Oryzias latipes: one gene and its partner. The protein of the gene in region 1 binds, or shares a complex with, the protein of each later gene. Links are inferred from orthologs where the notes say so. Each region holds a gene or a part of one and is shown in the gene's direction. Other genes may lie near its edges.

What was found. Proteins that work in one complex are often made in the same cells at the same time.
Region 2: camlg (region 1) and wrb share a complex: the UniProt entries of both Homo sapiens proteins name them as parts of the golgi to ER traffic (GET) complex. The link is inferred for Oryzias latipes from reciprocal best matches to the Homo sapiens genes CAMLG and GET1.

What each region holds. Positions count from the first base shown.
Region 1 is NC_019872.2:3,757,255-3,761,546, reverse strand, and holds the start of camlg (calcium signal-modulating cyclophilin ligand), read left to right. Parts: upstream 1-1,482; 5' UTR 1,483-1,748; coding exon 1,749-1,908; intron 1,909-3,547; coding exon 3,548-4,008; intron 4,009-4,130; coding exon 4,131-4,196; intron 4,197-4,292. UniProt on the Homo sapiens protein: Required for the post-translational delivery of tail-anchored (TA) proteins to the endoplasmic reticulum.
Region 2 is NC_019871.2:25,295,554-25,299,760, reverse strand, and holds the start of wrb (tail-anchored protein insertion receptor WRB), read left to right. Parts: upstream 1-1,403; 5' UTR 1,404-1,535; exon of another isoform or gene 1,536-1,603; 5' UTR 1,604-1,641; coding exon 1,642-1,731; intron 1,732-2,601; coding exon 2,602-2,767; intron 2,768-3,139; coding exon 3,140-3,207; intron 3,208-4,207. Other genes in the region: non-histone chromosomal protein HMG-14A, read right to left, coding at 54-83, 967-981. UniProt on the Homo sapiens protein: Required for the post-translational delivery of tail-anchored (TA) proteins to the endoplasmic reticulum (ER).

The sequences.
Region 1 (4,292 bases):
GATCTCTTAATCATGCTTATTAATACTTGTATATTGAAGACTGCGGTATATAAAGGTGGAGAAATGCTGATGATTTTAGTATAAAGGAAATGATACTAAGAGAATAAACTGTCTGGGACTTTTTAAAGGAACTTTTTGTGTTTTGGATGTCAGACGATGTTTGTTCCAGATTTAAATCAAGGCGGTTTGATTTAAGGGCTCAGATTTAGAACCATTTCAAACTGTTTCATAAGCTGTTTATTCTGAAGAATCTGGTTAGCAGCTCATATGTGTCGTATTTTTGTGTCAGACAAATGACTTTAATTCGACAAGAACAGCAAAGTGAGTGAAATGCATCTTCACAATGTACTTCCATTGAATGCATCAGACCGACTCACTGCAACAAAGCTTCTGGCTGGGGGAGGAACAGAGTATATGAAGGTAAACTGAATTATGGTGGTGGAACCACAGCAAATAGCAATAAGCAGACTTTTTTCATTGCCTTCTTGTCATCCTGACATTCAAATATGACCCTTTTTCAACAACCACATTTCTACTCATGTCTACAATAAAGACTGTAGTAAAGTAAATAGTTAAGCTTTTGTAATTACTTGTATTTGACTGTATTAATTTATAAATAAAAATGCTGATTTTAGAAGAGCTTCAATATTTTCAAACCGTTTCCCATTTAATTCTAAATTTCAGTTATTTTGGGTTTTATTCTTTTTTTCCCATAGTTTTACTGTGATAAATAGTTTACTACTGTAGAAATAGTGACTATTTTAAAAATTATATGATTGCTATCCTTGTTATTGCTGTTGGAATTGACAAATAGATTTTAGTGTTGGTCGAATAAAAAGGCAACCAAAACAGAATTGAAAGCACTCGTACAGCAAAGTCTTCTTCCACTTTCGGCTTCTCCCATCAGGGGTCGCCACAGCGAACGAGTCGCATGGTAAATTTGGCAATGTTTTACGCCGGATGCCCTTCCTGACGCAACCTTCTCAAACCGGGCTTGGAACCGGCAGAGGTAGAGAAGGGAACAGGGAGCAGCCCGGAGTCGAACCCGGGTTTCACGGACGGAAGGCGCCGCAAACCAGCATGAGCTAAACTGGCTCCACTCGTACAGCAAAGACGATAAGTAAATAAAAGTAAACAAAACTATAAATGTAACATTTATGGAAGTTGGACAAACTTCAACACATACAAAAGATTTATGAAGCAACAGAAGAAGAAAAAACCTCTCTTCTACCTCACAATAAGGGCATTTGTTTTGATAAATCTTTAATAGATCTATTAATATGTCAATAACTAATAGCTGTTGAGGCAAAGTTTTCATTCAGTTTATGAAGAGACAGTTTACAAGCAAAGCTCTCTCACTGCACAAGACAAAAAGCACATTTAACAATTATGAATTATTACAATTATATTCCATTCCAGTCCGGATCATTTCAATAAGACCAGTCTGTCTTAATTGAATTTACACAAAGAATATAGGCCTTACAGGCCTTCCATCTGTTTTTCTTTTTCTCCTGCAAGACAAAACTCAGCGCAAACACACCGAGGCGACGACTTTACTGTGACGTCATCATCGTGCGCCCCATCTCCTGTTTATCCACCGTCATTCGTTGCTGGCAGTCCTGGGCCTTTTGGATAACGAGTCTCCGAGCCTCTTATCTGTGCAGTGTGTGGGGGTGAGTGGGTCTCCGCCTTCACCTGCTGTGGTCGAACGATTTAGGTCCAACGAACCGAGCTCGAACCCGAACATCATGGACACCGGTGGCGACACCAGCGAGGAGGCGACGGGCTCCTCCACCATGTCTGCGGCGCAGCGGAGGGCAGAGATGCGGAGGAGGAAACTGCTCCTGAACTCCGAGGACAGGCTCAACAGAATCGTGGGCTTCGCCAAAAACGGTTCCGACAACAACGGTACTAAAGCCCAGCCGAACCGCTGCAGGGCTCAGCGCGTTGACATCATCATGAGTCGAAGTTTTTACCAAAACACAATAATTTCATTTGTAGTAAGTGTCCACATGGTTCTTTGTGCGTTTCTACAAACGAGACTGCAGTAGAGAACTGATCCAAATGGAGTCAAGCATCGATGTTTGCACAAACTAGAGGGGAAGTCTGCAACCTTACAGAACCATTCAGGTCCATTTCTCACTGAACAAAACTCAAGAAGAGCCTCAAAATCTAATTTTACCCTTTAGAAACACAAGATACTGATTCGTATTTATGTTACTATTTCTGATCAATTTAAATGTACTGTTGTTTTTGGTATAAATAAAACATAAAGAGATTTATTTCTAAATATAAAACATTTTATAACTATTGACAGACGTTCACGTGGTTTCCTTTCAAAATAAGAGACACCTGGTTACACAAAGGAGCATCATCCGATGCAGCAACTGTAGTAGCAGGCGCTGTCATGTCCGCAGAAAAACAAAAAAAATACATGTTTGTGGTTCCTCTGAGCCAGAAATGTGAACATCTAAAGAAATAATGTTTAGTCAGAACTAATGAAGTGAATCCTGCTGTATTTTCTGAACAATAACTTGAACTTAAATCCTTGAATTTGTTTCAAAATGGAAAACCAAGGGACAAAAATAGAAAAATAATAAAAGAATTTCCAAATTTAGAAATAAAACACAAACTTGCCCGTTTCTGTGTTATTCTAAACTGATAGGTTTGATGTAACCTTTAGCACACCCATATGCTATATTGCAGAAATGTTTATATAGGTTTACATACAGTACTGGTTTCTTTTTTTTTTTCTAATTATTCTTTTCCACTTTCATCGAAGTATGTAAAGGGGCAGAATTCTTTTATTCTGTTCCCTTGAATTTCCCAGGCATAAGAATTTGTAGGATCGTTTTTTTTGTTTTTTTTTTTTTGTTTGTTTCGTGGAAAAGCATAGTAAATAAAGGAAAACAAATCCGCCTTATAAACCAGTCCACCTTAAGGATGAATTCTGCTTTTGCTTACTGACCTCCTTGTCAGCACCAAAACATCTGTCAAAAATATTTTGGCGCATCTTTGTTAAGCTTTGAAGCCTCGCCACTTGTTAGATTGTTGGAGCATTATGGGTAGTGTAGTCAGGAAGATCATGAAAAAAGTTCAACTTTTTCTGAACGATTTGGATAAAGTTTAAGTTAGTTTACTTTTTACTTTACAGTTACTTTTCAAAACCCAAAAAACGTTTGTTTTTCTATAAGCAGAGATTCATGAGGGGGGGGGGGGGGGGGGGGCATGTGCACATGCATTTTGGAGCGGATTACATTGATTGTTTTGGCTCTAAAAGCCTAAGGTTCATTTGAATAAACTATTGAATTTAAGACAATGCATGAAGTTATGTCTTTGTGCACTTCCTTTAATAGAAAATGCTAAGTGGTTTCATCCACACAGAAGGAGCTTCTCCCCAAACTTCTCACTGCTGACTGGAATTATTTTGCAGGTTCAGAAAACGTCTGAACTTCTTCTTTTATTCCTATAAGTCTTTAGTTTGGTTTGTATGTTCTTTGTTTGTTTTTCCCGCATGTTATTTCTGGTTCTCTGTTCTCCCGTTCAGGAGCTTCCCGGCGTCCTGCAGAGCCTCGTTTCCATCTTGACCTCGACAGGACGGAGCCGTGGTCCCCGTCCTCGTCTTCTCAGAGGCCGTCTCCCTTCCTGCCAGAATCGTCGGCGCTCAGCAGCCTGTCTCACACCGCCACTCCAGAGAGGAGGGGCTCGCCTCTGCCGGACTGCAGCGAGCCGCCGCCGGCCGTGGAGGATGACGTGGGCGCTCTCAGGCAGAGACTGAAGGGGGAGCGGGCGCCGTCGGACAACATCAGCGGCTCCCCGCGCAGGGGCCTCCAGAACTACCTGTCTCGCTTCGATGACGCCATGAAACTTCGGGGTCAGCTGGCCAGCGAGAAGCCGACTCAGGACGGCGGCGTTGAAACGGAGGAGTTCGATCCCTTCAGAGTCTTCAGGCTCGTCGGCAGCATCCTTCTCGCCGTGTTTGTCAGGATGTTTGTCTGCAAGTATCTGGTGAGTCTGCAGACACACCTCTGCACAAAGCACAACAATCCTATGACCGATTGATTGAAGAAATGTGTATTTGTCAAGTTTTCTGAATGCTTTAAGTCTGGGATTTGACCTTTTCATTGCAGTCAATATTTGCTCCTTTCCTGACCCTTGAACTGGCGTACATGGGATTATCCAAATACTTTCCAAAAGTGAGTTCGCTCTCCTTTATTCTGTGGGATCATGTTACATGCAGATGGCGTGAAGCAGGTTTGTCTTTTCAAAATGGGATTAATAGCTATAAAATG
Region 2 (4,207 bases), on another chromosome or scaffold:
TCCATTTTCTACATTTTTCTTTAATGTGACGTAATGAATATTTCGCTACAAACCTCTGCACTCGCATCACCATCAGCTACAGCCTGGGAACATAAAGAAAACAGCAGAGCAATTAGACTTTTTATTGGAATGAACCATAACCGTTCACGGGTGAGCAAAAAGTGGGTGTGTAGATTATACGGGGGTGGGGGGATGGGCACCTCTCCTCCCCTTAAATCACAAAGAAATTATGCAATCTGTGGGCTCCGTCGCGAGTGGGGTTTAGTGTACAGACAACGGGCAGTTCCCCCCCTCCCACCCTCTGTTCAGACATTATTGGTATGCGCCAACTTTTACCTACAGGAAATGAAAACACGGTCCTCCTTTTGTGGCTATTCTTTCAAATCTGGCATTACCAGACCGCTTTCTTTTTGCACGAGAGCAACTGCATATTTATTGCACTGGAGTGGTGCATAACAATAAATAATCGAAATAAAAAACCCTACTTTGCAGAGCTAGGGAGCGGCAATTTTTTGGCTCCAGCAGTGCATGAAATCCACATTCCCTGAAAAAAGGTAATTTCAAGGAAGCCACCTGAGGCTACACCCCTTTGTTTGGTGTCTGCACATCAAGTTAAGCAAACGCGACATACATGATGCGCGGAGTGTTTTAGCAACATGATGAAGTCACGCCAGGCTGGTTGTGTAACGCGGGAACCCACTCGATCGAAAAAAGGAGGAACGAAAAAAAAAGGCATTTTCCCTCCTCTGAACCGAGGACGGAGGAAAAAAGGCGCCACTTCCCTATATCAACACGAGCGCGTGGAATCAGCGCGTCCACTGGCCGAACGACAGTAAATCTGCGTCCCCTTCAACTGTTTTAATTCGACTCTTCCTAAAAGCCATTTTTTGACGCCATTTAAAAAGGAGGACATTTCAATTTCCACGTGAATGTCAAGTCATATTTGACATGCACCTTCCTACTTACCTTCTTTCTTCCCATTGTCGATGAGATTGTGCGACAAAAGGCACAAAGGAGGAAAAAAAACTTTTTTCTTTTTATTTTAGTCAGCAAAGAAATTCAGGTCAGGCGTACACCTTCTTCCCACACCTCCAGAACAGAGTGGCACGTTTGCATCAACGATCGAGCAGTGCCAGAACCAGCTCATTCCGGATTGGATCCCCGGCTCGGCATATTTGATTCCTTATCCTACCAAGCAACCGGGGAAAACGAAGCCCCGCCCCCCGGCCTCGCTGATTGGCTCCGAGCTCGGGGCAGCAGATTTTTCAAAAGAAAACATCTTACCTGTGTGGGCAGGACGGCGTGCCAATCAGCGCACTCTCACTGTTCAATCATGATTGTAATGGCTCGCAGGGCGTGTTCCTTACAAAGTAATACATAAGAATCTGCGAAGAAACGCATTAAAAAGCGGACGAAACCACACATTATTGTGAAACTTGTTTGTTTCAGTAGCAGAAAAGAAAGCCCCGCTCTTCCATAAACGCTGTATCTATGTTTTAGCGAATTATTTAAATAATGCACATTATTTTTTGTCAGGTAAAAATGAAAACTATTAAAATACTGATTTATATTTATGAAACAAGTCTAATAGACCCTCCCCTCCGCCGAGGAGCTTCCTAGCTGCAGCAAAGAGGAGGAAAGATGGCGGCCGGCTACGCCTGGTTTCTGGTGCTCGGCTCAGTTTTTCTTTGCAACCTCATGAAAACCTTCTTGTCTACACTGTCGTCTCTCGTAAGTAGGAATGTAAAACCTTAGAAACATGAATTTCGGTAACGTTTTTCCTCAACATTGTGGCTTAAATTTAATACTATCCCTCGAATAGCTGCAGATTAGCTTAGCATCCAGGTTAGCTAACGCTAAAGTAAATAAATAGTGCTGTATTTAATTAGGCATCTTCCGCGTGCGCTTAAACCACACTTAGAGTAGGGATGTGTCTATATAGCTATGTGATTTCGCGGAGCTTGTTGGAAATATATTTTTATGTCGTAAATAATCTTGATTTCAATGTTTGCAAAGAAAATGCACTGAGGTCAGGGCTATCACACTGACCTCACAGTGCATTTGTGATCTTCCCAATTGTGCAATTCTGTAGGACGTCCATGTGAAGGTTTTTGTTGTCTTCTTCTTGGAAGAGAGTCCAGTCCGGGTCAGATTAGATGTGGCATTGCCACTAGAGCCGCATCTTAATATTTTTCTTCATTCATGGAGTCTGCAGCCCCATACCATCACACTGCCTCCACCAAACTACAATCAGCAAGTTTTTCATGGCCGCAACTGGCATGCCAGGATCTGCTGTTGCTTAATGTGTCACCTTTTAAAAAGTAGTTAAAATAACAAAAACGCAACATGGGGATAAAATGTTGAGTCTACACATCAACTTACTTTTAGTGCCGTTTTTTTATTTATGTTTGTTTTATTAACGCTGGGACTGTTTAACTATTTGGATTTACAGCTAAACTTAAGCAAATGAGGCGTGCGAGAGAAGAAAGGCAGCTAAACAATATTAATTCGTGATAATTTAATCTTTCATCTCACAATTTCTTATCTATTGTTTGTATTTTCGTTAACCTCTGTGTTGTTGTTGTTTTAAACTCTTCCCAGCTCTCTAAAATGATCCAAAAAGATGCTGAGCAGGAGAGTGAGATGAGGACTGAAATCCAGGGAATGAAGATGGAGCAGTCTTCCATCAGTATGATGGACGAGTTTGCTAAATACGCCAGACTGGAGCGCAAAATCAACAAAACAACAGACAAGCTAAAAACACACGGTGAGATGCAAATGGGTGTACGGGATAGCCAAATCCGCGCTGGTGCGGAGCCTCGTTTTTACATGTTGCACATTTGTGATACATGTTTGATTGTGAACAGCTGTCATTTGTTCCCGTTATTTACCTGTTTTCATTAAGTTTGTCATTTATTACAGTTTTAAAAGATATTTGTTTGCATTAAATAATATTTCTTCAGTCTCAGTAAGAAACATCTGCATAAATTAACAAGTTATTCAATATTTTGACGTTATCGACTCCCTTCAGCTCATAAGATGTGTATTTAAATCATGACAAGCAGTAGTTAAATATATTCAAATGTTGACAATTCAAGGTTTATTGTTGTGATATTTAAACGTTTTCTTACTTTTTCAGTGAAATCGAGAACTGCTCAACAGGCAAAGGTGAAATGGGTCGTGAACATTGTTTTCTACATAGCACAGGTAAGTGCCAACTTCAAAGTATCCTGATGTTGAGCCAAACATTTTCTCTTTTGATTTTCAGTCGGGGTCTAACGATCCATTTGAACAACAATTCAATTCATATCATAATTTGTGGTCACTGATTCATAGTTGATATTTGTTCATTTGAACCAGGCCTGGGCGAAAAATCGATTGATTGAATTAATTCGAATTTTTTGTTACGGGCGATTTAAAAAAAAAAAAAAAACTAAATCGAGCGGGGGGAATTAAAAAAAAAAGAAAATCGGATATTTTATTTTTAGGCCATATCGCCCAGCCCTAATTTGAACATTTGGATTTATTGACCTGAAATCGATCCAACACATCTTTAGCCAAAATTTAACCTGTGTGACTCAGAGGTCAATACCTGGGTCAAACCAAACGGAGCAGGCGAAATTTTCCAGATTCCTTGAATTTCTTGCAAGAAAATAAAGTGTAAATTTAATATGTGTACAAACAAACAAGTAAACAATTATTAATGTCAAATCCCTTCACATTTTACTTTCCTAAAGTTCAGCCTACTGTTGTTTATCCACATCCAAATAATCCAAAGGGAACATTATTATCAAACTTTATTTATAAAGCACTTTTCATATGATAGCGTAACACAAAGTGCTTTACATTAAACAAAACAAAATAAATAATGTAAAAACAAGCATGAAAATTAAAATAAACAAGCACCAAAAAAAATATAGTGTCCCCCCCTCCCCGTACCCATACATCACCCCCACTCCTTTCACACTTCCCACCCTATAACTGATTATATAGGGCGATTCCATTAACAACTTTGCCTCAGATGGATCTGGTTGGATCATAGGAATAAAAATCGCTGCATCGATAAAGTCAGTTATTCGTTAGACGCCTAGTTTTCAGCCACGAGCTAATGCTGATGGGAAAACTTGCTCCTGAGGATTTTAGGAACAAAGAAAGGGATGACATTGTTAGTTTTATTTCCAGGCATCTGAGGACTCAAAGTTCAGGT